Macaca mulatta: one gene and its partners. The protein of the gene in region 3 purifies or fractionates together with the protein of the main gene of each other region. This does not show direct contact. Links are inferred from orthologs where the notes say so. Each region holds a gene or a part of one and is shown on either strand. Other genes may lie near its edges. The genes, in order: SAP130, HDAC1, SUDS3, SIN3B and HDAC2.

Region 1 (4,219 bases), on a different chromosome or scaffold from region 3:
TGAGTCCAGGAGTTTGAGACCAGCTTGGGCAACACTGTGAGATCCCCTCTTTACAAAAAAATTTAAAATTAGCTGAACATGTGGCTGTGCGCGGTGGCTCATGCCTGTAATCCCAGCACTTTGGGAGGCCAAGGAAGGTGGATCACTTGAGGTCTGGAGTTCGAGATCAGCCTGGTTAACATGGTGAAACCCTGTCTCTACTAAAAATACAAAAAAGAAAAAAAAAAAATTACCCAGGGATGGTGGCGCATGCCTGTAATCCCGGCTACTCAGAGGCTGAGGCACAAGAATCGCTAAAACCCAGGAGGCAGAGACCGAAGGGACCTGAGATAGAGCCAGTGCACTCTAACCTGGGCCAAAGAGTGACACTCTGTCTCAAAAAAATAAAATAAAACAAAATAAAGTAAAATAAAATAAAATAAGCTGGGGAGCTCAAAAGATCGAGGCTGCAGTGAGCTGTGATTAGGCCACTGTACTCCCGCTTGAATGACAGCATGAGATGCTGTTGCAAAAAAATAAGCCTCAGCTACTGGTTTAAGCAATGAGTAGACAGTGGTATCATTTACCATAAGGAACACCAGAATCGAGTGGTGAAGAAAAAGGAATAGAAAATAGTTTATTCCACTTTGCAATGTCACATATTTACTTAATACGTAGCGAAAAAGAGTATTTGAAGGAATTCCTCAACTTCAGCGCTGCTGACTAGACTGGATACTTCTCTGTTGTGGGGGCTTCCCATTATCTTGTAGGATGTGAAGCAGTATCCCTGGCCTCTACCTACCAGATGCCAATAGCACTGTTGAGTTGTGACAACCAAACTGTCTTTAGATATTGCCAAGTATTCCCCTGCAGGAAAAACCACCTCCCCAAACACCTGTCACTGAGAACCACTGATTTCTAGCACTCAAAGGGCATGAGACGAAAAACCAAGTCTTATCTGTGTGTATGCAATCAGCCCTCTGTATCCATGGGTTCCCTGATCTGAATTCAAATAACTTTGGATGTTAAATATTCAGGGGGAAAAATAAAATATGGTTGCATCTGTACTAAGCACATACAGACTTCTTTGTCTTCTCACTGTTCTCTTAGCAATACGGAATAACAACTATTTACATACTATTTACTTTGTAGTAGGCATTACAAGTAATCTACAGCTGATTTAAAGTATACTGGAGGATAGATACAGGTAATATGTAAACACTATACCATTTTACATCACAAAGTGGAGCAACATGGATTTTGGTATCTGAGGTGGGTCCTGGAACCAATCCCCCACAGACACCATAGGGAAACTGCATATCCTTTGTTTTCCACTTATTTTCCTTGATAATAAACTCCTAAAAGGCAAGATCTGTTCCTTAAACAACTCTGGGCTCCCTCACAGCACTAATGCTATACTCTTGGACATTAATTAAACATGAATATATTAATGCATTTCAAAAATAGTTCTTACAGGCATGCTTCGCTGTAAGTTGCATGTGTACTCTATGTGAACGAAGTGCTTAAAGCAGGAAGAAAAAAAGCCTTGTTTAAATTAGAATAGTAATATACCCTTTCTTCAAATTCAAGAAATAAGAATTTACTAAAATCCTAGAAGGAGTCTGCTAATTTTTAAGTTAGAAAACTGGCAATATTCGTAAAGTTGGAAGAAATATATTAGAATATTACATATCTCACCTGTAGCAGCTGGGTTTATCAATCCAGCAGTACCACTGTTTGCAATCTGAGAAGGGGCCTGGCTCAGCCCAGTAGAAGGGGCTCCTAATCGAGGAAACTGTTGAGAACTCATTTCCACCTGCAGTACATACAGTTATATGGTTATTACTAGATTCTGAGATCTGAATCAATATTGAGAAATTAAAGCATCTTTAGTACCTATGAGATAGTCCCTCGGAAAAGCAAATGTTGCATCATCTATTTAAAAACAATAACGTAGGATCAATATAAATGCAGACATTATCTAAACTACCTAAGTTTTCTACCAATATCGTTTATACGGAGCTGGCGTGTACTATAACCCTCCATAAATACTTGTGGATTGCCATGCTAAAAAAATCACCATTGAATCCTGTACAAGAGTCACATGACAGGTATTACCACAATGCATGTGTATTTCTCTGTGTAAAGTTTTATGGAAAATGGCATGTCTCTTCGAAACACTCAAACCTCACACCAAGGTGAACAGAACTGTGATTAGCATGTCATAGGAACATTCGGAGGAAGATACCCAGCCCTAAGAAAGGATCGGATGTTTTACATTCAGACCTGATGCAAAAGGAATTCTCCAACGCTTTTCTGCAAAGGCTTCCATTTACGGATTTCCTTTTCTTTCCCTTTCATAGACCCCCCACAGAGCCAGAGGACCCTACACCTTCTCCATCTTCCCTAAAATCGTCCCCCACTTTTCCCCCAGGAGCCAAGCGATCTCCCCTGATTCGCCCGCAACCCCACCCCACCGCGAAGCCCCCGCTGAGATGGGAGGACGCCGATTTCCAGACACCTCGGAGTGCGAGATCCCCGTCTCCGGGGTAGGGGTGCGGACGGGCGTTCTGGGGACCCGACCACAAGGCGAGCACTGTGCCTCTTTACCTGTAGCCGCCGCCCGCCGCCCGCACCGCCCGCTTCTAGCTCGCCGGCCTGGGGGTGCCGCGGAGGGCCCATCTCGGCGGCGGCGATGCGCTCGGGGGGCGCGGGGAGGGATCGCGGCGGCGGCGCCCGGGGCCCGCCGCTGTCCAGCCCCGCTGGCCCCACTCACCCCCAACACCCGGCCGCCGCTGTGCTCGCAGTCCTCTTCCCCCGAACCTGCCCCTGCCTCCCCCGCCCGCCCATTGGCCCCACGCCCGGCGCGTCAGTGGAGGCCCAGGACCAATCCACAGCGACCTACACGGTCAGGACCCGCCCCACCCTCCCGCCGACCGCCAGCCAATCAGGCGCGAGCCTGGCCGGGGCAGCCCAAACCCCTCGAGGCTGAACCAATGGCAGAGGAAGACAGGCGCCCCCGGCGAGGGGGGCGGGGAGCGGGGAGGCCCCGCCTTGGCCAGGGTCTGAAAGCGGCGGGCGCAGGGCCCGGATGTGGAGAGTCACTTTAAACTGCTCCAGGAGCCAAACTCCCTGGGCCGCCCGCCCGCCCGCGCTCCCCCGACCGCTCTGCTTCCCCGCCAAGGCCCACGTCCGCCACGCCCCCACGCCCGGGTCAGCCCACCCCTCCCGGTGCCTCTCCCTTCCTCGCCACAGGACACCCAGCCCCTGTCGCCGGCCCAACTGCCGTGCCCAGCTCGCCAAAGAGCCGCGGTCCGAGCTGCAGGAGACGAGGATCCTCTGCCCTTCCCCGGGGACGCGCAACGGGACGGACGCTGCAGCCCGGCTCGGCCGCCCCGCCCCCTCGTCTCCTCCCCTTCCCTCCCGGGCTCCCGTCCCGCCATTACCTGGGTGCTGCGCCGAGTGGCCGCCGCGCCGCCTTGAGCTCGCTCCCGCGCGCTCTCTGTCTGCGGGGCCGACGTCCCCAGGTTCCCGACCCGCAGCCACCGCCGGGGAGCTAGCACTCTGCCCCCCACCCCTCACTCCAGCGCCGCTGCTTCCGCCGCCGTAACGAGCCTCCCGTCTATTGGCTGGCGCAGGCCCCGCCCCCTGCCGAGTCAGCCAGTCGCCGGTGGTCGTGAGCGGGAGAGCGGACGGGCCCGCCCCTCGGAGCCGCGGCGTCCTCTGGGAAATGTAGTCGCGGGAGCCAAGAGGGCGGGCCGCGAAGGAGGTGGAGAGCGCCGGGGCGGGGCCGCAGGCGACCCGGCCAGGGCAACACACCCCTTTGCTGTCTGAAGTCGGTTCTGTCTTTTCTCTTGGCTAAGTGAGAAGACAGTGGATCCCACCCTGTGTCTCAACCTGAGGGCACTAGGTTTCATTTTCCCCGCGGGGAGGCGCGGCGCGGGAAAGGGTAATGGAGGCCAACTGCGGCGGCCAAGGGATCCGCGGGCCGGACCAGTGTCGTGACGGTGCCCGCCTCCCTACGCCGCGAGTGGGACTCGGTGTCCCCACCGGGGACCGCGGTCGGCACAGCCTACGCGCGGCGGGAGCCGCCAGGCGCGGCGCGGGCGCGGCTCTGTGAAAGCAGGCCGGCAGGATGCAGGACTCCGGGCGGCCGGGGCGCACCTGCGCGCACTTTCCAGATTATGAAGGCGCTGAAGGGGGCAGTTTTATTTTGTCATTTTGTTTGGGGTTCAGGGTT
Region 2 (3,354 bases), on a different chromosome or scaffold from region 3:
AATTTGTCAAGAGCTTTAACCTGCCTATGCTGATGCTGGGAGGTGGTGGTTACACCATTCGTAATGTTGCCCGGTGCTGGACATACGAGACAGCTGTGGCCCTGGATACGGAGATCCCTAATGGTAATAGCTGCAGGGCCAGGTTTGGCTGGGCTGGGTGGGAGCTGGAGCTCATCTGTCCTTAAGTTTATAACCCCTTCCCCGTTGGTCATATGACCACTGTTCTTCTGATACTAGTCACTGAGTCCCCTGCATGTCCTCTTGTGATCAGCAGACCATAACCATCACTTTTTCCCTAGTCCTTTTTAGCTCTGTCCCCTCTCCCTTCTGCTTTTGGTCTGGACAAAGTTCTCAGTGGTAATTTACAGCTTTGGAATTTCTGCTCTGTAGAGTAACTGGAGTAGTGAGTGAAGGGAGCGTTCATAATGAGCATGGGCTCAAGTGTCCTAAACCAGGAACATGGACCTTCTCCTAGCGACATATACACCACTGGTATAGACATAGAGTGATGTTAACAAGATGGAAATCCCATAGGTACCCGTGTCTCACCGTGTCTTGGAGGCATTCTCCTCTGTTTGACAGATGGATCAAGGGCCCAGAGAAACCTACAAATGCTTTAGGGTGCTTACGTGCAAATGGTTCAGGTGCGGTGGCCAGGTCTCTTAACGGTCTTCTCCCTGCCCCAATCAGAGCTTCCATACAACGACTACTTTGAATACTTTGGACCGGATTTCAAGCTCCACATCAGTCCTTCCAATATGACTAACCAGAACACGAATGAGTACCTGGAGAAGATCAAGTGAGTATATCCTCCAGCCACCCCTTGGTTGAACATTCCTGACTTTGGTTTGTCCCTGACCAGAGCCCTGCTACTCTCTCCCACTGGCCACAGACAGCGGCTGTTTGAGAACCTTAGAATGCTGCCGCATGCACCTGGGGTCCAAATGCAGGCGATTCCTGAGGACGCCATCCCTGAGGAGAGTGGCGATGAGGACGAAGAAGACCCTGACAAGCGCATCTCGAGTAAGACCTAGACGCAGAGCCCTATGCCTTCCACTCAGTAGGCAGCCCCCACTTCCACCACCATTCCTGGCTGCACACTCTCCAAGCTCCCCACCTTGGAGAAATCTGTTTCCAGTTCCAGTGCCTGTAGGAACAGGTTAGGGAGCCTGAGCTCCTCCCTCTTCTCTGGTTCCCTTTCCCTTGGTGTCTCTTGGAGGGCCTGCAGGGAAGCACTGGGCATAGATGCTGAGCTAGATCGGCACCCGCCTGCTCTCACCCATGCTTCCCACTCCCTCCCAGTCTGCTCCTCCGACAAACGAATTGCCTGTGAGGAAGAGTTCTCCGATTCTGAAGAGGAGGGAGAGGGGGGCCGCAAGAACTCTTCCAACTTCAAAAAAGCCAAGAGAGTCAAAACAGAGGATGAAAAAGAGAAAGACCCAGAGGAGAAGAAAGGTGGGTTTGGGTTCAGCCGGGACTTGGGTCTTGAGCCTGAGAGGATGAATCTATGTAGGGCAGTGGGAGGAGGGAGTGACTCAGGCCCTGCCAGCTCCTGTGGGGCTCTTCCTCAGTTCCTTGAGCCTTTCAGTGTCTCCCAGAAGTGGCAGGGCCCACAAAACAACGAACCTCTACTGGCCAAGCACGGCTCTCACATACCACCCAAGCCCTTTTCCCAGCACTGCACCCCAGTTTCCCAGGGGGCTGCCTCCGCCCACCAGATTCTGGCTGTAGCAGGCTGGGAAACCGGTCCAACCTGTTCTCTACAGGGCTCACTGGGAAGACCAGGGATGGGCTTTTCTCTCTTTTATGTCCAGTGAGCGTAGTGTTGGGGAAGGGGTCTCAGGGTAAATGAAGACCTCACGGGTCTTTCCAGAGGTGCTGCCCTTAGCCATCCCTGTACTCTTGTGTTCTAGAAGTCACAGAAGAGGAGAAAACCAAGGAGGAAAAGCCAGAAGCCAAAGGGTGAGGAACGAGCTGCCTGCAGCCATCTCCCTGGCATTGGAGCACCAGCCCCTTTGTCCCACTACTCTGAAGAAAGGCACAGGGACAGCTGGTCCAGCTTACAAAGGCCTCTTTCAGGGACCAGTCTGTCCAGCTCTGCAGTTCTAGGCAGAGCTAGGAGCCCCAGCCCCCAGTAGTCACCTGGGATCCTGTGGAAGTCACTGTGTCTGCACTTTTGCCCCGAGGCTCTGGGCTGGGTCATCTCATGCCAGTCTCTGCTCTCTCCACAGGGTCAAGGAGGAGGTCAAGTTGGCCTGAACAGACCTCTCCAGCTCTGGCTCCCTGCTGAGTCCCTCACCTTTCTCCCCCAACCCCTCAGATTTTATATTTTCTATTTCTCTGTGTATTTATATAAAAATTTATTAAATATAAATATCCCCAGGGACAGAAACCAAGGCCCTGAGCCCAGGGCAGCTGTGCTGGGTGAACTCTTCCAGGGGCCACATTGCCACCCATTCTTCCCCAGTTCTTAACTTTGAACCATAAAGGGTGCCAGGTCTGGGTGAAAGGGATGCTTTTATGCAACCGTAAGACAAAATCCTGAAATGCGAAGTGCCTGCTTAGTAGCTTTGGAAAGGTGCCCTTATTGAATATTCTAGAAGGGGTGGCTGGGTCTTCAAGGATCTCCTGTTCTTTTCAGGCTCCTAAGGTAACATCAGCCATTTTTAGATTGGTTCTGTTTTCATACCTTCCCACTGGCCTCAAGTGAGCCAAGAAACACTGCCTGCCCCGTCTTCTCCTAATTCTGCAGGTGGAGGTTGCTAGTCTAGTTTCCTTTTTGAGATACTATTTTCATTTTTGTGAGCCTCTTTGTAATAAAATGGTACATTTCTATATCCTCCTGAGCTTGTTTCCTACGTGTCATTGGGTTGGTTTCAACTCTTACTTCCCTGCCCTTCTGGTGTCCATGAGTATTGGGGCAACCCCCTGAACAAGAAAACCCCATAAACTTACCTGCCTGCCTTAACTCCTCCCTTGAGGTTTGAGGTGAACTACTTTCCACCAATCTTCTCACCCTACCCCCAGAAGACCACTCATTAAAGCACCACTAAAGGGACGACATTTATTCCTTTTCCAAATGTTACAGTAAAACCAGGTGGAAGAGAATGGTTTTAGCAGTTAGAAAAAAAAAAAAAGTACAAATCTGGGGTTTGGCCATTAAAAGTTATTTACAACAATGGGAGAAAAAAAGACAACAAGAAGTTGTTTCACATTACAGACCTCCCCCCACCCCAAAGCCTAATACTTGCTTACCAAGTCAAAAAAGAGACACAGTTGATTCACAAGCTGGAGGTTTGAACTTGAGTAAGACATTTATAAAAACCTAGACGGGGCAGTGTCCTCCCCAGCCCA
Region 3 (4,312 bases):
GATAGGAACGCAAGTTACTCAATATAGTTGATTGCAAATAATTTAGATGTGCTCCAACAGCACAAAAAAAGAAAATGACTTCATCTTTTGGACACGAGACAGTTCCGAAATCCTAGTTTAAATATAGATGGCAGACCTGGTGAGATCTGAGAATGATTCTTATTTAGAAGGCGCTTCAGAAGATCTCGGAACTCCTGGAAAGACATCTTAGCATTCCATTCTGGAAATTCTTTAGTTTTGTTGGGACAAAAAATCCCTTACAAATAGAGCCAAGATTTTAATTAAAACAAGGTAGTAAATAAATGTCAAAATAAATGGGATGGGAATAATGTTTCATTTTTTAGAAGAGTCCATGGGGGCCAATTCAGAGAGAAATTTGATCACAAAAGGTCTGAGAATGGGAATATTCGGTTCCACCCTGGTTTTCACATGTGTTTTCACTACTGGTTGCGTTTCCTACGGAGACTCGGGTGGAACATGAAAGTGGGGCTACTTTGGACAAACCATTAAAAACCTTATCCTTTTTTCTCGCTACACACAACTAGACCACACTGCTCTTAGCTAAAGGGACACCTTAAATCTATTCTTTGAGCAAAACTTGTAACACCGTGTCCCTCTTTTACTCAGAGGGAATCCCACAAATTAATTCTTGCAGATACTCAGCTCTCCTGGTTTTTAAGCTTCCACGTAGGTCTTGCTTAGCCAAATAACTTCTGGTAGGCAAATTCTCCCCTTCTTCAGTTGAGAGCTCAGAGCAAGCTGTTGGATTAGGCAAAAGCACCTTTGAAAAAATTAATATTCAAGACAGCTGTACCGCGGAAGGCCTGGGTCTCCGAGTCTAAAAAATCAGACTGGACGTTGCTATTTTTTTTTAGGCAAACGACAGCTCGTTTCTCGTTTGTAAAACCGGGGGAACATCTTATCGAATAAACCTTACACAAATAGAAAGGATTCCTAAGGGCTGGGAAAATACTGTTTTGCTGTCCCCAGGATGGAATATCAGCATCCTTGTCTTTTAGCTCTTAATAAAGCTCTAAGTAGTCACAGGAGGAGCCAGGCTGCATGATCACGCACACTCTGGATGTCTAGGTTTTCAGACCTAACAAGGGGGCAGTTCGCGTGGTTCCCCTGCTTAGATTAGAGACCACCTCCACCTGCCAAGGGCCCTTCAAACCCTCCGCCCCTAGGTCGCTAACGATCCCTGCTTTAGTTCTAGCTCCAGGCGCCGCCTGGCGGCTGTTTCCGGATGTCGCCTGCGAGCCTCGGGGTCCTGATGGCTGCTGGGCCTGCCCGTAGATTTGCCTGACTCTAGAGAACCTGGCTCCGCCCCTCCCCCACTATACTTTAAGGATTTTAAGACGGCGATGAAAGGGCTGAAGTTGTGGCGACTGGGCGTCCAGCGGCATCTCCACTCCCCCAAGGATGGCGGAGTCAGGCCGTCGTCGGGCAGCTCTCGACCCGGAAGTCGCCAGCGGCGCGAGGCCCCGGTTGCCGAGCGCGGGCGCGGGGGGCGGAGCTCGGCGGAGACCGGGAAGGGGTCGCCGCGGCTCCCGCTCCTCGAGTTGGGGGCTCCCTCGGACGCTGCTAGGCAGACGGCGAGTACCGAAGGCGGGTGGCCGCGGTGTCCCTGGGCCACGCTCAGCTGCGGTCAGAGGCGACATGAGTGCCGCGGGGCTGCTGGCCCCGGCCCCGGCCCAGGCTGGAGCGCCGCCGGCCCCCGAGTACTACCCCGAGGAGGACGAAGAGCTGGAGAGCGCCGAGGACGACGAGCGCAGCTGTCGGGGCCGCGAGTCGGACGAAGGTGAGTCCTGCAGCTCTCCCGGCGGCCGGGAGCGGAGGTGGGACCGCTAGGGAGGGGGTGGGGCTGCTTGGGAGAGGGGCGGGGCGGCCTCTGGGGCCTGGGGCTGCGTGGAGGGGCCGCCGGGAGTTGCGGGACTCGGGGAAGTTACTCCCCTTCGCGCTGGAGTAGCGGGGAAGCCCTGGGTACGTTACACTTGACTGTGATGGGGAGAGGGGACTCACACGTTGTCACGCTGGGGGTCCCTTTAAGACCCCGTCCTCCCTCCCAGCTGTCTCTGATTGAACCTCACATCTTCACTAGTAGGAATGAGAAACTCATTTACTGAATGCACCGAGTGTAGTTCCCCCGTTTTTTGTGTCTGAGAGCATCAGAGTCCAAAGTTGCCCCTCCCCACCCCCGAAATGCGTGTCAGCTATGCTTTAGGTAGGACAGTATTGATAACTCAGGTTGGTTAAAGGAAAGGGACCTGGAACCAGCCAGATACAGGTTTAAATTTGGCTCTGTCACTTAACTCAGCTTTGTAAACTAAAGTTTTCCAGCCTCGATTTACCCAGCTGTAATGAAGCTGTTTAATTCCCACACCTGACCTAGAAAGCACTTCCTAGGGTCGGTATAGGGATTAAATGACATGCGCATAAAGTACTTGGCCTGGTACAGTAAATACTCAGTAAATGTTCTCCCCACCCGCCCCCCTCCCGGAAACAGGTAAGAGAGGGAGGGGTTTGCTTAATGGTCCCCAGGTGGTGTGTTTTCAGTCCCATGCTCTTTACACTGTCATCACAGCGTCTCAGAGCCTTGCTTTTCAAACTGAGCTTTATAATTTGGCAAGTGTGAGGACGCTATTTTGGAGGGATGGAGGAGGAGGAAGGTGATGAAATATGAAAGATCAAGGGAGAAGAAAGAGGAGATAAAGAGAGATCTATATGTGAATGGAATATTCTGGGACAAAATCGGGCCGTGGAGCAAAAGCTAGACCAGCTGTTTGGAAAGGTGCATACGTTTTATTCATCTGAATTTCCCGAGTGCCAAGTAATGTGGCTGACCATGACAGGAACTCAGGGAAGGCCTCTTAACTGAAGGAGGGGAGAAGGGTTTGTGGGGAATTGGATCTGCAACAGCCTTACAAAAGACAGCTGCATATGCATGACATGGAAAGTTGAAGGACTGCATTCGGTTTAACTCCATCCGAAGACAAGGCTTAACCAGAGATTTTGAATGTGAAGCACTTGCGCTGCATCTCATCCCCACGAGGGGGCGCGGTGGAGCCAAAATTGAGGGTTTTTTTTTCCTTGCAGTATAGGGGCTGTTAAAAATTTGTAGACACCCCAGCCATTAATGCTTGTTCTAAGAGCAATGTTTAAGATGTTTTGAAACAATTTTCGTTTGATCATCTGGCCTCCTCCTTGTTCCCTTTAGTTGTAACTTGGAAAATATTTGTGTCAGATTACCTTTTTTATTGTATACAGTTGGCGCTCCATGTCTGTGAATTCTACATCTGTGAATTCAACCAAGCGCAGCTCAAAAATATTCCGGAAAAAATTGAATCCGTACTGAACATGTGCAGACTTTTTTTGTTATTCCTAAACAGTGTAGTGTAACAACTACTTACATAGTATTTACATTTTATTGGATATTGTAAGTAACCTTTTTTTTTTTTTTTTTTGAGGTGGAGTCTCACTCTATCACCCAGGCTGGTGTGCAGTGTCACAATCTCAGTTCACTGCAACCTCCATCTCCGGGGTTCAAGCAATTCTCCTGCCTCAGCTTCCGGAGTCGTTGGGATTACAGGCACCTGCCATCATGCCTGGCTAATTTTTGGGGTTTTATTTGTTGTTTGTTTTGTTCTTTTTTTTTTTTTTTTTTTGAGATGGAGTTTCGCTCTTGTTGCCCAGGGTGGAGTGGAGTGCAGTGGCGCGATCTCAGCTCAAGCCATTCTCCTGCCTCAGCCTCTCAAGTAGCTGGGAGTAGCTGGGATTACAGGCATGCGCCACCACCCCCAGCTAATTTTGTATTTTGAGTAGAGAGGGGGTTTCTCCATGTTGGTCAGGCTGGTCTCAAACTCCCGACCTCAGGTAAACCACCTGCTTTGGCCTCCCAAAGTGCTGGGATTACAGGCGTGAGCCAATGCACCCGGCCTTAACTTTTGTGTTTTTAGTAGAGATGGGGTTTCTCTATGTTGGCCAGGATGGTCTGGAACTCCTGGCCTCAGGTGATTCACCCGCTTTGGCCTTCCAAAGTGCGGGGATTACAGGCATGAGCCGCCATGCCTGGCCTGGATATTGTAAGTAATCTAGAGATGATTTAAAGTGTACTGTTGTCCGGGCATGGTGGCTCATGCCTGTAATCCCAGCACTTTGGGAGGCCGAGGCAGGCGGTTCAGTTGAGGCCAGGAGTTCGAGACCAGCCTGGCCAACATGGTGAAACTCCGTCTCTACTAAAAATACAAAAATTAGCTGGGCGTGGTGGTGCACCCCTGTAATCCCAGCTATTTGGGAAGCTGAGGCAGGAGAA
Region 4 (3,554 bases), on a different chromosome or scaffold from region 3:
AAATGAAGGCTGCTGCCACCTGCCATCTAAGCTGAAGTCCGTCACTGTCCCACAGGAGGGACAGAGATTTCTCCAGACAACGGCAGAGTTGGCCGAGCACGGTGGCTCACGCCTGTAATCCCAGCACTTTGGGAGGCTGAGGCGGGTGGATCACAAGGTCAGGAGTTCAAGACCAGCCTGGCCAACATGGTGAAACCCCGTCTCTACTAAAAATACAAAAATTAGCCAGGTGTGGTGTCACGTGCCTATAGTCCCAGCTACTCGGGAGGCTGAGGCAGGAGAATCGCTTGAACCGGGGAGGTGGAGGTTACAGTGAGCTGAGATCGCACCACTGCACTCCAGCCTGGGCGACAGAGCGGGCGAGACTCTGCCTCTAAACAAACAAACAGACAATGGCAGAGTTGCTGGTTCTCCTAGGGCAGGCCGCAGGCTGGGCATCACAGAGACATGAACCCTCGCCTCGACACAGCAATGCCGCTACCCCACCTAAGCACCAGGGAAACAGAGGCACAGACCTGGCGGTCGGGAGAGCCAGGATCCCACCCCCGCCAGCCGGCAGGGCTAGGGAAGGCTGTACCTCGTCGTAGACGCTCTCGATCTCGTTGAGCAAGCTCTTGGAGCGCAGGGCCTTGGTGTCATTCTGCTTGAAGTTCACAGCCTGGTGGTCGAGGGACTTGAGGTACGCCTTCTCATACTGCTCCCGCCAGATCTTGTTGAAGCCCTGCTGGGCCTCCCGCCACTCCTCTTCCTTGGCCTTCAGCCTGTGGGGAGAAGAGGGGTCAGCACCAGGGACAAGCCAGGGCATCCTCCCTGAAGCATCCCAGGGCTGGCCTGTCTTCCTCTGGGACTTGACTGGGGGCCCAGGATCCAAGCCCAGCCAGCTCCCAGCCTAGTCTATGCAGTGGGCTCTGTGCACGTCAGAGGAAGGGCGTGATGGCCTTACAGAGCCAATGTGGCCAGCTTCCTGGGTCCTCCGCCTCCTCCCAGGCACCCAGCACTCTCCGCATGGCTGCTAGCTCAGCCACTCAGGTCCCTTGCTCAGCTGTGAGTCCCAAGAGGAGAGGGACTGGGTCTGCCTCACTCAGCTGCGTAACCCCAGGGCCAAGCATTGCACCTGCCTTAAAGTGGCCACTTGATAAATACCTGTTCACTAGCACCAGATGGTGTCCGAGATGCAGCGTTAAATAAAATGCAAGCCACAGTGTAGTGGTTGCATCTGACTCTTAAAGCAGTTTAGATGTCTAGATGTGATTATGTGCAAGGTGGAAAGTCCTAGAAGGTCACAGTGCTCTCCTCTCAGGAGTGGGAGACTGGGAAATACAGGAAGCCAGCCCTAGGCCTGAGACCTCCCCTGGAGATTACCCCTGTTGACAAACAGCACTAACAAGCTCTCCAGGGGCTCCCTGCGGCACGGAAGGGAAGGGAAGGGAAGGGAAGGGAAGGCGGGATGCCGCAGGGCACCTTTTCAGGACAACAGGGACAGCGGTGACGGGGTTCTTCTTGAGGCTCTCGATGATCTCCGGGGCCTTGTCGCCATAGATGCGATAGATGGCACGGCGCTGGATCACCTCTGACGTGCCCCCGAGGGAGTCGTCCAGCCGGAACTTCTCCTGGTCTTCGGGCGCCATCCGAGAGAGCTTCTTCTGCACGCTTTCCAACACGCGGATCGTGGCCAGGTTCGTCTCCAGGACAACGTCTAACTATGGAAAGGAAGGCAGGAAGGGGTCAGCCACTGGGGAACTCAAGAGGCCTCAGGGAGGAGCCTGGGACCTCAGAGCGCAGAGGATTTTTGGAGGGGGGTGGTGTGTGTGTGTGTAGGAAACAGGGTCTTGCTCTGTCACCCAGACTGAAGTGCAGTGGCACAATTACAGCTCACTGCAGCCTCAACCTCCTGGGCTCAAACGATCCTCCCACCTTGGCTTCCCAAGTAGCTAGGAATATAGGTGTGCACCACCATGCCTGGCTAATTAAAAAAATTTATGGCCCGGTGCGGTGGCTCACGCCTGTAATCCTGGCACTTTGGGAGGCTGAGGCAGGCAGATCACAAGGTCAGGAGTTCGAGACCAGCCTGATCAACATGGTGAAACCCCGTCTCTACTAAAAATACAAAAATTAGCCAGGAATGGTGGTGTGTCTGTAATCCCAGCTACTCAAGAGGATCGCTTGAGGCCAGGAGTGTGAGACCAGCCTGGGGAACATAGTGAGACCTCATCTCTACAAAAAAAGTTAAAAAAACAACAACAACCTGGGCATGGTAGTGTGCACCTGTGGTTCCAATTACTCAGGAGGCTGAGGTGGGAGGATCATTTGACCCTGGGAGGTCAAGGCAGCAATGATCCATGATTGTGCCACTGCACTTTCAGCCTGGGAGACAGGGCAAGCAAAATAAATAAATAAATAAAAGTTTCTTTAACGTAATTTAAATTTATTTTTATTTTATTGCCCAGGGTGGAGTGCAGTGGCTTGATCTCGGCTCACTGCAGCCTCGGCCTCTCTGGCTCAAGCAATTCTCCTGCCTCAGCCTCCCGAGTAGCTAGGATTACAGGCACCCGCCACCAAGCCCGGCTAATTTTTGTATTTTTGGTACAGATGAGATTTCACCATGTTGCCCAGGCTGTTCTCAAACTCCTGAGCTCAAATGATCCACCTGCCTTGGCCTCCCAAAGTGCTGGGATTACAGGTGTGTGCCACCACACCCAGTCCAAACAAAATTTTTAAACAGAAAAAAAAAGTGCCATCTGGTAGCCAGCCCAGAGGCCAGCAAGACCCAGCAGGAAGCTTCCAGGAGCTGCTGGAATGTGCTGCAATCCCTGCTCCTAAAAGGAGACTGGCACAGTGGAGGAGGATCAGGACGCATGTCCGGTGGAGAAGGGGGACAGGCATGTGCTGGGAGGCCTGGCCACAGCACCACACACACCTCGAAGCGCTCGTCCTCACAGCGGTGAAGTTGCTCCTCGTACGGTGTCTTCTTAGAGCTGACGAAGGTGGAGTCCTCAGACCAGGAGGGGAAGGAGACCCAGGTGTCATTCAGTACCTGCATCGAGAGGAAACGCCATGAACGGCGCTGCATGCCCCAGGAGCTAAGATTTACTGTTAGCCAGTGTACAAAGTACCAAGATACATAATACAATCCTGATTATATGATAGGCAACTGCCTTATACAAATGGGAAGGTGAATCAAGTTTTTAAGGGAAAACATGACTTTGGTCAAGTGAACACTCCCTTGGTATCCTGGGAGATTGGTTCCAGAACCACCCCTGGAGACCCAAATCCACAGATACTCAAGTCCCTGATGTCAAATGGAATCCTATTTGCATATAACCTATGCAAAATCATCTCTAGAATACTTATACCTAATGCAATGTAAATGCTGTGTAGATCATTGTTACACTGCATTCTTAAAATGTGGATTACGTTTTATTGCTGTACTGTTATTTTTTGGTTTCTCTCTCCCCACCTATTTTCAATCCATGGTTAGTTGAAACCACAGATGAGGAACTTGCAGATATGGAGGGCTGATTTCATTTCAGATATTGGTAAATTTTCTCTGCAAA
Region 5 (3,554 bases), on a different chromosome or scaffold from region 3:
TGTCCTGTCTCAGCTTCCCAAGTTGCTGGGACTACAGGTGCATGCCACCACGCCCACCTAATTCTTTTTTGTATTTAGTAGAGACAGGGTTTCATCACATTGGTCAGGCTGGTCTCGAACTCCTGACCTCAGGTAATCCACTTGACTCAGCCTTCCAAAGTGCTGGGATCACAGGCACGAGCCACCGTGCCTGGCTGGGGTGTGGGGTGCCTAATTCTTATGTGTGTTAAATTATAATGTCTGAAGATCCATGAATTTTTAGGATTACTAGCACTTGTGCAAGTTCTTCCTGAACCTCTCATGGAATGGTCTTAGCTTCAGTTCAATTTCACAAAAGCAAAATTTACCCTCAATATTAGAGTTATGAGACCCATCATCCAACGAGGGGAAAGCAAGCAAAATTACACACCTCCTCTCCCAATTTTTCTTGCAGTCTAAATTTTTATTAAGATTTAGTAACTAAATATAAGCCATACAAATATGGAAAAGACAAAGTATAGTGAATCTTTACACTCCTACTGCACAGTTAAAACACAGACGAAATATATTTTTACTCTAAGATTTCAGAATGCAGAAAAGTTGGTCAGCACTTCTCATCCTAACTGCCACTAACTAGCTGGCAACTCAGAGCTGCTGCCCTTGTTAGACTAAGCTTTATCTTTTCCAGGTCTCATTCTGCAACTGCTACTACGCCACCTTTCTTTCTTCCACTGACTACTCGAATTAAAGCAAACAGAGTTTCAACAATGAGCTAAGCTCAGCGTAGCCTTCTTTTCAGCATTAGAATGAATTAGCAGGCAGAAAAAGCGAGTGTTTTTTAAATTAACATCCAAAGATACAGGTGAGTTACACAGAAAGTCCAAATACAGCTGTACGTATAATGTAATGACTGATTTTAATTCTCTCACAAAATTATGGGGACATGCTTAAAATATTCAAATGTTATCCTTAAAACATCATTTAATACAGCGACTATAAAATCTTAAGAAAAAGAGATGTTGAAAACCAGTCTCAAATCCTTCTAAAACATGCATTCTCTAATATTTTCAAAAACTTCAAACTGTAAGAATTATGAATAATAACTGAGAAGAGACCATAGTGACATTCACCTGTCAGAAATTACATGAGGCTTCCATTTTCCACTTCTGAGATAAACTAGGATCATACTGCGAAGATACTGTCTTATTCTTTAAGCTTAAAACAGAGAAGACTTTTGCTTGACTTCCACTAGGATGTAATGGTTGCTGACAAATATATTCTATCGGTTTACAGCAGTGATTCTCAAATCACCCAGTTTCTGGGCCCTAAGAATGTGTATTTCTAACAAGTTCCCAGGTGATGCTGGTCTGCTTTCTCCTCAGTTTAGGGTCCACTGTTTGAGAACCACTAGTCTGTATGACCAGGTGGCGAAAAGGATAAATTGAAGGAGTTTACTGGCAAGGAACTGAAATTACAAATCTGCAATTTTAAAAGCTAAATAATTTAAACTCAAACCAAACATTTGACCTCCCACCCATTTGTAAGTATGGAAAAGTTTTACTAAGGTAACTCTTTTACTCAAAGAGTTTACTGAGAAAGGATCACATTGTGGTCTAACAAAGAAAAGCCATACAGCTTAAGAATACTTTATGGCAACTCTTTAAATTCTGGTTGCTAAACTGTAACGACATACCATAGACGTGAAAAATAACCTTAATAAAATAGTTTAGAACTTTGTTCAATGCCATATAAGACAAATCTCCCATATAATCCAGGCTGAACTAAAAACAGCTGTTTAAATTATTGAATAAATTTCAACATGTGTGTAGTTAGGTTCAAAAAAAGTGTGGTGAGGCAAAAAACCTTCAATGAGCTTACAGAAATAGGATTTGACCAGTGGTTTTCACAGTCATAACATCAAATGGAAAAAGAAACAGAAATAAAATAGAAATACACTTAATGTAACAGGCAGGCAGGGCTACACTATTCTTTCTCTACGTAAATACATTACCAATTTTAGAAGTTTAAGGAAAAAAAAAAGATTAAAATTAGACCTACTAAAAGTCAAGACCAATCACAAAAGAGAGGAGCAGAAGAACCTAAAAAGACCTAGTCTATTTTATTCCACCGATCCTTATAATCAATAGCAACATAGGCTACCATCAGGTAGTTTTGAAGATTCAAACTGAACATCAAGAGAAGGGCTTCGTGCTTTGTGGATATTCAAAAATATTTATTCAACCAAAGAAAACAGCTGAGGAAAAAAAAAAAAACAGTCCTTAAGTTCTCACTAAATTTTTGCTTAGTTAGCAACAGTGAATTTTAGCAAATGTTACTGCATATGAAGTAATTGAATTCTGCATACAAGTTTCAAATTATTAACTCAGGAAAAATTCTACTTCAAGTATAAGGTTACTGATCTCCTAGGTTCGTCTCACAGTATTTATTAAGACAGAATTTAGTCTTACCCTCAAGTCTCCTGTGCCAGGAAAGTATTCCCCATATTTATGGAATGATACCGTCATTACACGATCTGTTGTATAAAAAGCTTCTTCAACACCATCACCATGATGAATATCTATATCAATATATAAGACTCTCTGATGATACCTGAAAGCAAATCCATAAGTTTTTGTTTTTTTCTTTAAAGGTTATAAGATGGGAAGAAGCACCACAAATTCAGGAAACCTATTTTTGAGCTCTAGCATTCCAGGATGTTTAATCACCTTTTAAATTCGGCCTAAAAGGCTATTCAAATATCTGAGGTTTGAGCCTTAGGCCTTTAAATACCCACTTATGGCCCTATGTAGGTTAAAAAATACATATTTACTCTTTGTGAAATTTGTTCCATTCTACATGCTTCAAAAACATAGCACATGTTTCTAATATATGAAAAACTGAAGATTATACCATACTCAAGATTGTTACTTTAATTAAAACACCTCTGTAATAAATCTTCAATATTATAAAATAGGGATTGGCTAACTATAGCCCATGGCCCAAATTTGGCCAATTGCCTCTTTTTTCAGCTTTGAACTAAGAATAGTTTTTATATTTTTTAAATGGTTTAAAAACAAAACCGAAACAAGAGTATTTTCTGACATGTGACAATTAAAAAATTCAAATTTCAGTGTCCATAGAAAAAGTTTTACTGAAAGATGGCCATGCTCAATTGTTTATTACCCATGGCTCCATTTGAACTTCAGAATTGGTTAGCTGTGACAGAGGCTACATGTGGTACTCTCATCATTTCAAACTGGTGCTTGGAACACCACAGATAACAATGACACAGTTGTAACTCAAACACAGTTTAGGAGCCACATGAATCACCATATCATGACATTTTGTTACCAGTGTATACTCATGTCAAAATAAAGGGAAAATGGACTTCTCATGTCATCCTTCTGAAGTACAATGAAGTGAGATTTTGTTATTAGATGGCAAAGCATTGTATTTATTATGTAATGATGCCATAGCTGTGCTAAATAAAACAATACAATGTAAATTGATATTTCCAGACTAAGCACTCATGAGACTATTCTCATAAGAATATAAAGAGCGTATAATAGTATAGC

What was found.
Region 1: the proteins of SUDS3 (region 3) and SAP130 purify together in Homo sapiens (affinity purification with western blotting; 3 studies listed by BioGRID, with this or other methods). This does not show direct contact. The link is inferred for Macaca mulatta from reciprocal best matches to the Homo sapiens genes SUDS3 and SAP130.
Region 2: the proteins of SUDS3 (region 3) and HDAC1 purify together in Homo sapiens (affinity purification with mass spectrometry; 9 studies listed by BioGRID and IntAct, counting the BioPlex papers as one, with this or other methods). This does not show direct contact. The link is inferred for Macaca mulatta from reciprocal best matches to the Homo sapiens genes SUDS3 and HDAC1.
Region 4: the proteins of SUDS3 (region 3) and SIN3B purify together in Homo sapiens (affinity purification with mass spectrometry; 3 studies listed by BioGRID and IntAct, counting the BioPlex papers as one, with this or other methods). This does not show direct contact. The link is inferred for Macaca mulatta from reciprocal best matches to the Homo sapiens genes SUDS3 and SIN3B.
Region 5: the proteins of SUDS3 (region 3) and HDAC2 purify together in Homo sapiens (affinity purification with mass spectrometry; 5 studies listed by BioGRID and IntAct, with this or other methods). This does not show direct contact. The link is inferred for Macaca mulatta from reciprocal best matches to the Homo sapiens genes SUDS3 and HDAC2.

What each region holds. Positions count from the first base shown.
Region 1 is NC_133417.1:9,247,350-9,251,568, reverse strand, and holds the start of SAP130 (histone deacetylase complex subunit SAP130), read right to left. Parts: upstream 2,855-4,219; 5' UTR 2,662-2,854; coding exon 2,590-2,661; intron 2,303-2,589; exon of another isoform or gene 1,876-2,302; intron 1,796-1,875; coding exon 1,678-1,795; intron 1-1,677. UniProt on the Homo sapiens protein: Acts as a transcriptional repressor. May function in the assembly and/or enzymatic activity of the mSin3A corepressor complex or in mediating interactions between the complex and other regulatory complexes.
Region 2 is NC_133406.1:208,542,792-208,546,145, reverse strand, and holds the end of HDAC1 (histone deacetylase 1), read left to right. Parts: coding exon 1-123; intron 124-690; coding exon 691-799; intron 800-892; coding exon 893-1,023; intron 1,024-1,302; coding exon 1,303-1,455; intron 1,456-1,913; coding exon 1,914-1,962; intron 1,963-2,231; coding exon 2,232-2,259; 3' UTR 2,260-2,837; downstream 2,838-3,354. UniProt on the Homo sapiens protein: Histone deacetylase that catalyzes the deacetylation of lysine residues on the N-terminal part of the core histones (H2A, H2B, H3 and H4).
Region 3 is NC_133416.1:125,665,770-125,670,081, forward strand, and holds the start of SUDS3 (sin3 histone deacetylase corepressor complex component SDS3), read left to right. Parts: upstream 1-1,512; 5' UTR 1,513-1,659; coding exon 1,660-1,801; exon of another isoform or gene 1,802-2,472; coding exon of another isoform or gene 2,473-2,506; exon of another isoform or gene 2,507-3,480; intron 3,481-4,312.
Region 4 is NC_133424.1:17,355,399-17,358,952, reverse strand, and holds part of SIN3B (paired amphipathic helix protein Sin3b), read right to left. Parts: intron 3,035-3,554; coding exon 2,918-3,034; intron 1,701-2,917; coding exon 1,462-1,700; intron 762-1,461; coding exon 578-761; intron 1-577.
Region 5 is NC_133409.1:19,019,988-19,023,541, forward strand, and holds part of HDAC2 (histone deacetylase 2), read right to left. Parts: intron 2,590-3,554; coding exon 2,448-2,589; intron 1-2,447. UniProt on the Homo sapiens protein: Histone deacetylase that catalyzes the deacetylation of lysine residues on the N-terminal part of the core histones (H2A, H2B, H3 and H4).